Linked DNA regions of Coturnix japonica. The protein of the gene in region 1 binds, or shares a complex with, the protein of each later gene. Links are inferred from orthologs where the notes say so. Each region holds a gene or a part of one and is shown on either strand. Other genes may lie near its edges.

Region 1 (3,825 bases):
GCTGAGATGGAACTACTCCTTCAAACAGGAGCCTTCCAGGGGATCATGGACTCATAGAATCACTGAGTTGGAAGAGAACCTTAAAGACCATGTGGTCCAACTCCCCTGCAATGAACAGGGACACCCACAGATCAGTCAGGTGCTCAGAGCCCCATCCAGCCTGACCTTGAATGTCCCCAGAATCAGGGCATCCACCACCTCTCTGCGATGCTGCAGTCTGAAATGCCTGATGTGATGATCTGCTCCTTACCCCATACTGCATCATCCCCTTGGTATCTAGCATGATTCTGCTCCTAGGTGCACTTCCCTCCCTACCCTACCATTTCACAGAAGGCACTGACCCAGAGTGGGCCTTTATGTCTTGCTTCAGTGAGCAGATGATAGATAAAATTGCAGCATTACAGAAAGACTGAGACTCCCTGGAGATCATCTGGTCCAATCCTGACCAAACAGGTCCAGCTGGAGTCAGTGGTCTAGGTCCATGTCACCTCTCCACCTTCTTTCCATGTTTCTGTCCCAAAATAGTGAATAGTCTGAGGCAAAGAAGTCTTGGTGCTTTCATCTCCAGTACCTACATTGGCATCACACAGAAACGTGTGTAGAGAGGGAGATGTGCTGAAGGATGGATGGGGTTGTGTCACAAGTCATAAGGGAAGAAATAGCTTGAAACTGCAGTTGGACACAATGCTTTTGGAAATGTAAGATATACAGGACTAGCTAAGGGTGCATGTTTAGACAGAATGAAATTATGCATGACAGACACCCAAGGTATAGGATGGACTGGCCTGGCTGGGAGTTTCATTCCATCTGACTTTGTCTTTCTCTTTCCTTGTTGCTACAGGAAGCTGCTGAAATCTACCCTCGTCCTTATGCCTCTGTTTGGCGTTCACTATATTGTTTTCATGGCTATGCCATACACAGATGTGTCAGGGATTCTTTGGCAAGTTCAAATGCACTATGAAATGCTGTTCAACTCTTTCCAGGTAACTGCTAACTGTGTTGTAGCTGTTAAACCATGGACACAGACCATGAGATATTCAACACAGAGAAGAGGGAAACGAGAGTGCAGAATGTTCTCTTTGGAAACAGTGTTGTGTTTACAGTATGCCAAATTTCATTCACAAGATCATTTGACAATATTTTAGCAGCGGGTATGTTTTATATTTGCAAAACAGAGCGTAAAAAGGGTTAGTGTGCTGCTGTTGAAAGATATCTTGCCCCACAATATCCATGTAGCTCCAGACCAGACATAAGCTGGTAGAGATCCAGAGACATGTTGTTTCAAATTTATTCAGATTTACTTCTCTCAAGCTGTCTTTCAGTCCTGTGAATTCATTCCTCAGTTCTTTCGATTAACATTAATGTGCTGTTTCTTCTTCATTCTAGGGATTTTTTGTTGCCATCATATACTGTTTTTGCAATGGAGAGGTAAGAGTCATAAGCTTTTTAATTATCTCCTACCTGTGTTAAGCTAGTTGCAATGGTGGGTGGTAAAGTGGATGCACATCAGTGTATCCCTCTTTTTCTAGAGAAGCAGCCCTAGTCTGCACTCAGTGAAAGATCTGTCCATCTACACAGAAAGTTCATACATTCATTTTGGTCTTAAAAGAAATACAGATCAATCTGCATCAATTGATGAACTACTGGAAGTAGCTAATGGGGGAAAAAAAGTGTTTTTTTTTTCCTTTTCCCAGCACAAGTGCTGTTTAGTGCCACTTAATATCAAAGCTGTGTCAGGAGTAAAAGCGGATTGATAGAATAGCTGTCTAATCATCGAGCTCTTTTGTTAGGCCGAGCTTTGTTGATCTTTTTATTCTGTTTCAAGTGATGTGCTTTTATTTTCAGATTGTTTTTGAGCTGCCTTTGCTTCTTTTAATCCCTTCTGTAGCTGCACAGTAAAAACTTAGCTGATCAGTGAATGCACACTGAATTATGTTCTTGAACAAACATGAAGCTGCTATGGGCAGAGTTTATGGATTTAAAGGTGAAATGCAACTACAGATAAGTTCCTTATGTCCTGCAGCATGAACCCAAGATGTCTGTTCCAATTTCAACCTCCATAGAATTCCCATCCATGCAGATATTACCTCCTCCTGATGATTCTCTCACCCCTTCTCCTTCTACTCATGTTTTTTTTCCCCCTTGTCTCTCAGGTCCAAGCAGAAATAAAGAAGTCATGGAGCAGGTGGACACTAGCACTTGATTTTAAAAGGAAAGCACGAAGTGGGAGCACAACCTACAGTTATGGACCAATGGTTTCCCACACCAGCATCACAAATGTAGCCACGAGAGGGGCACTTGCCCTTCATCTCAATACAAGACTTATACCAGGGACCCTCAATGGACACCGGAATTTACCAGGTTATGTAAAAAATGGCTCTATATCTGAAAACTCTATGCCTTCTTCTGGACCAGAGCAGTACAACAAGGATGAGGAGTACCTGAATGGCTCTGGGCTTTATGATGGAGACAGACCCACAGTACTTGTTGAAGAAGAAAGAGAGACAGTGATGTAAAGAGAAGAAGAGAAGCAGCAAAAGGGTGAAAAAGGTTCCTGGAGAGCATTTAGTGGGCAAGAATATCAGGCCACACAATGGATGCCAAGGGTTTCCATACCTTTTCTCTGTTCTGTGGAATGAGAGGTTAAGTTATATGAGAAAAAAAAAAAAGAAAAAGTGAGCCATCAATGTGGCCAGCAGGTGATCACACACATATACCCAGTGATCTAAGTCTCCCCAGTGTTAATGGAGGCAGGGCTGTCCACGGGCCTTGCCACCTGCTGAACAACAGAGATGCTGAGAGTTTTTGGGGAGGGTTGCACAGCAGCACGTGGTCCTTTTACTTCTTGGAGGCTTGGGCAGCCAAGGAGAATGGGAATCTCACCCAGTAAAGCAAGAGTCTTGCGGGGAGTGTACATTGCCAACTTCTTGCAAGGGTACAAGCCACACTGGGCATCAGTGTCTTTGATTTGGTTTGCCCTTTCCTTTTTGAATCTGTCTGGTAACACACATGAGAATGACCAGGGACCCTCAGGTACCATAGCTGCCCGTTCTTGCAACCTGGTTCTTAACATGGACAGCTTGGTACAACTTGGGACATGTTCTTCCCTTGGGTATACTCATTCCTTGGCAAAAAGCTCCTCTGGGATGGGCAGGGTTAACAGCTCATGGTCATTAGATAAAGGCAAAAAGCTGCGTTCTTCTTTCCTTGACCTGAGTATCATAGCAAGCCAGAAAACAGTGCAATTTTAAGATGGGAAATGTGGTTATCACAATGTGTGACATTTTCAGTCTTCCAGATACAGCAGTGGAGATGGGCCCACTCTGCCTGCTCCCAGGAAGTTTGAGATGGGGAAGGGTGTTTGCAGATCTCCAGCTTATGTGCCTGTGTGTGTGTAGCTAAGACCAGCTCAGAAGGTCACTATCTCAGCCTCCCTCTTCGTGGAAGCTCATGGAAACAGACATGAGTCACGTTCCTATAAAGTTACAAATGTCTTCTCATCCTCCCCCTCCAAATTACTTGTTTCTCACTAATCCAAACATTCATGAGGAGAAACACAAGATGCTGGATACAGCCAGGCAAACTTGCCTTTATGAGGTTCAAGGGCAAAATCTGCTGGATGTAAGCGCAGAGATGGCTCATGGACAGTCACCTTCTGAGCATCTTCTTTCTTTCCCATTCTTAGCTGTTGGGACATTCAAATGAGTCATACACACACATACAGACATCTGGCCAGCATCTTAGCTGGTGTGATTACGTATAATTTCAGCCAAAGTCACTGAGTTTGACTAGGGATGCTTAGAAGAGGAAATATGATTGGGGTTG
Region 2 (3,487 bases), on another chromosome or scaffold:
GTTTTTCATGTTCACACTCTTTAATCCTCAATTATTACTGTGCAGCTTTTGCATGTTCTTGACATTATCTGGTTTTAGGCTTTCTTGTGAAAATCCAAAGTGAATTTAAGTCTGCATTTTGCTTAATGCAGTTATATGTTTGTTTGCAGTACAAGTAGGCCTACAGATTGCAGTCAAATAGTCCCCACATAGGTGTGGTAGAACTGGTCTTAAGTATTTTTTCATCTTTCTTATTCTATTGTGGTTGGTCATTGTTGCTTTTTGTTTTTTATTTAATTCTCTTACAAGTTAATGAGTTAGATCAGCCAGTTAGAAGATACCCAAGAGTTAGCAGCAATGGCCACGGATGGCCTGTAAATATATTTTATTATCTAGTTGTGAAATACTCATTTCAATGGGGCTACGGTCTGGCATGGAGCCTTTAATCCTTATTAGATTAAATAAAAAAATAAAATGCCCTAATTGATCAGTGATCTACAGACATGTGCTTACTTGGACAGTTATAATGCTCTTGGTTTTTTCCTTATGCCTTAGTTTTAAAGACTACGTTCATGTAAGATTTGTCCAGGTCAATGGATTTCTTCTGCATTGCTGCCCGCAAATGCTCAGGGAGCAGCCTCCGGTTTCTTATCTCCCCCAGGACAATATCCTCCTTGTTTCGAGGCCTCTGGGTCCTGGCGTCCTCAAGGGCACTGTGCACATCTTGCAGCTTCATCTGAAGCCAGTCCTGTCTCTCCACAGTGTGCCGATGTTCTCCAAAGTTATGCATTAATTGCATCTCACTCACTGATCTCTTCCTGAAAGAGAGGAAAGGACTCATAATGGCTTTCTTAAATTCACCATCTCAAATAAAAATCCAGATTTGGGATCTTGTGTAGGATACTGTAGCACAGAGCTGTACAGCTCACCTTTCTCATTTGTAACGAGTAGGATAACATCTGGAGTAGAGAGGGAGTATGGATGGTGATTTGCTAATTGAAACATATCTGAGTGAGAAGGCATCAAATGTGGGAAGCAGTCCAGTTTTGTGATAGTGTTTGGCTATGTCTTTATCATTTCTTTTACCTGTTGGGGTTAAGCTTAGGGCTTAAAAGACAGTAGTTAACTGGTTAAGGCAACTAAGTACAGTATTTGTTCAGAGGCAGTTTTCTTTGAACACCATGGCAAGGAAGCATGATTTCCTGTGCATTTTTGTCTCAGTGCTGATTGATGTCAGTGTCTGAGGGTGAGTTCCAAGTAGGCTGTCACACAATAAAAATGTTCACCTGCTAGACCCCCTTCAAGCATCTGCTGATAGATGCGGGTTACCCAATGATAAATTTCTTAAAAAACAAACAAACACTTAAATGATTATTCTTAATCTCCTCTTTCCAAAAAGCATTTAAAAACTTGGCATGTTTTTGAGATCTCTACTGCTCTATCTAGAACTCAGACTTTTGCTGGCTGGGCTGAGGGGTTCAAAAGTGGGACTGGAAAGATTAAAGTAAACCGGTACTCGAGCTGACTGCATTCTTGAGAATAGTTCACATCATTTCACAAACTTTGGAAGCATATAATAAAGTACTTACATCATTGGTCTACCATCAGAGTTGGTAAAAAGACATAAGGCATATAAAATCATTACAGTCTTGGCCAGATTGTTTGTAGAAGTCATTTTTGTCTGCAGAGATGGAAGAGAATAAATGTATAGATCAGTGTTTCTAGTAATTCTTTGAATTCCAATTAAATTTAGGTTAGGAAAAAAGTTATAGAATGACAGCAGACAACAAGAGGCTTTAAAAACATTCTTTCCATGAAATAGATTGCAGCAAAGGGAAAAAATGGTTCTAATACTGTTTCTTTTGAGAAATTCTTTGTAACTTTGTAGGCAAGTCTGAAAGCTTCTGTCAGCCTTAATTGCTTTGCATTATCATCATTTAAGTACTCACAGTTTGGATAACAGGGTGGAAGGTGCCACATCCTTTCAGCAGCACTGTTATTTATCTTTTGCATTTGATATGCTTTAAGTATGTTGAAATACTCGTGTATTGCTATGCAGCTGAAAATTTGGGTTCCTTTATATGTCTTGAAAAGTGAAGTTGCATTGTGTTTAGAATGAGGGGGCTGCCACTCTTCTGGGCAGTTCTGCACAGAGGCATAACTTTGAGTTATTTCCTTTTTCCATTTAATCACGTAAAATAAATCAGAGCCGAGCCTCCTATATTTTAGTGCTAATCCTGCGTTGTTAGTATGAATTCCACACTGCTTTGTGTGTCATCAGCAAAGCTGCTGCCTAGTACATACATGAAGAATATTTATTACCAGTGATGCTACAACTGACTGATAAGGCACAGTCAAAATTTCTGTTTCCAGACTGAGTTTTCAGCACTTACTGCTGGGAAATGCATCTTTTTTGCTATAACTTAAGAAACTTTATACAGAGTAACCGAAACATAAGGAAAGAAAACTCCAGAGTGTGATGTTTTACGGTATTTTCTGCAGTTTTATTTTAGGGCAGAAAAGCATTTGCTAAATGGCATCTGACATGTTAATATGAATGTGGTCCTAGCAGTCCATCTAACTCAATATTACATATACAGGAATTGGATTCACTACATTCTAACTCACTGTCTCAGATGTACTCATTTCAAACATTTGGTTTAGATAATAAAACAGTTTGATCATGCTTGTATTAACATTTATTTTCAGGCTACCTTAAAAATAAGGCTAAGTAATAAAGCAATGATTAAAATCATCTAGAGAACTTGGAAATAAAAAAAGAGAGATATACTCACCAGATACTGCCCTGCACAGGGTATGTCGGCAGATGGCTGGGTCTTGATGTCAAGTATATTTAAAGACCACTGAATTGGTTTAGTGGACCCCTTAAATCTAACTTTAAAATAGAGCTTCTAAGTAACTTAGGAGCCCTTTTATTGTCTCAGTTGATGTCACTCTCAACACACACCCTCCTGACCCTCATGTACCCACCCTCGGATGCTTTTGTTAATTTGGCATTTACACGGAAAAGGAAGGTCTCAGCAGAAAGAAAATATCCTTGGTAGCTCTGAAGGAGTTTGACTTTTGAATTCAGATTCCCAATTACTCATAGATTTGTGCCCAAGATAATGTGGTATCTGAAGCTGTTGGAAGGATTTGCAAGGACAGCTTTGTGATGTTAAATGCAGGCGATGGGGTCAGTGAGCTACAAGTGCAAGATTAAAAAAATATTGAGAAGTTAACATATATGTAATAATTGTCAGAAATAACAATAGTAATTTTAGGTCAGGAACTGGAATTCTTTGCTAAAGAATGCATTGGAGAGCAGCTGAAACCCCAAAATGATAGACAAACATGTTTCTAATGAAGCTGACTGTATTGAAATGTTGTTAAAATACAGTGTCAGATCCCCATTGCCCTGTTATACCTACAACCATGAATACCTTTCTGTTGCTCTAATGTGCTGGATAAAATGAAGGCATTTGAAGAGGCTGTGATGTATATCAAT

The links.
Region 2: the proteins of PTH1R (region 1) and PTH are in contact, whole or in part, in a cryo-EM structure (PDB 9JR3), measured with the Homo sapiens proteins. The link is inferred for Coturnix japonica from reciprocal best matches to the Homo sapiens genes PTH1R and PTH. Residues at the interface, in NP_000307.1 of Homo sapiens: Val31, Met32, Thr33, Lys34, Glu35, Gln37, Ile38, Leu41, Glu111, Trp112, Asp113, His114, Ile115, Ile135, Tyr136, Asp137, Phe138, Arg146, Arg162, Thr163, Ala165, Tyr167, Val171, Leu174, Thr175, Glu177, Glu180, Arg181, Phe184, Leu187; in NP_000306.1 of Homo sapiens: Ser32, Val33, Ser34, Glu35, Ile36, Gln37, Leu38, Met39, His40, Asn41, Leu42, Gly43, Lys44, His45, Leu46, Asn47, Glu50, Arg51, Val52, Glu53, Trp54, Leu55, Arg56, Lys58, Leu59, Asp61, Val62, His63, Asn64, Phe65.

The regions. Positions count from the first base shown.
Region 1 is NC_029517.1:3,290,586-3,294,410, forward strand, and holds part of PTH1R (parathyroid hormone/parathyroid hormone-related peptide receptor), read left to right. Parts: intron 1-841; coding exon 842-983; intron 984-1,386; coding exon 1,387-1,428; intron 1,429-2,153; coding exon 2,154-2,516; 3' UTR 2,517-3,825.
Region 2 is NC_029520.1:11,844,897-11,848,383, reverse strand, and holds PTH (parathyroid hormone), read right to left. Parts: upstream 1,711-3,487; 5' UTR 1,655-1,710; coding exon 1,569-1,654; intron 798-1,568; coding exon 524-797; downstream 1-523. UniProt on the Homo sapiens protein: Parathyroid hormone elevates calcium level by dissolving the salts in bone and preventing their renal excretion. Acts by binding to its receptor, PTH1R, activating G protein-coupled receptor signaling.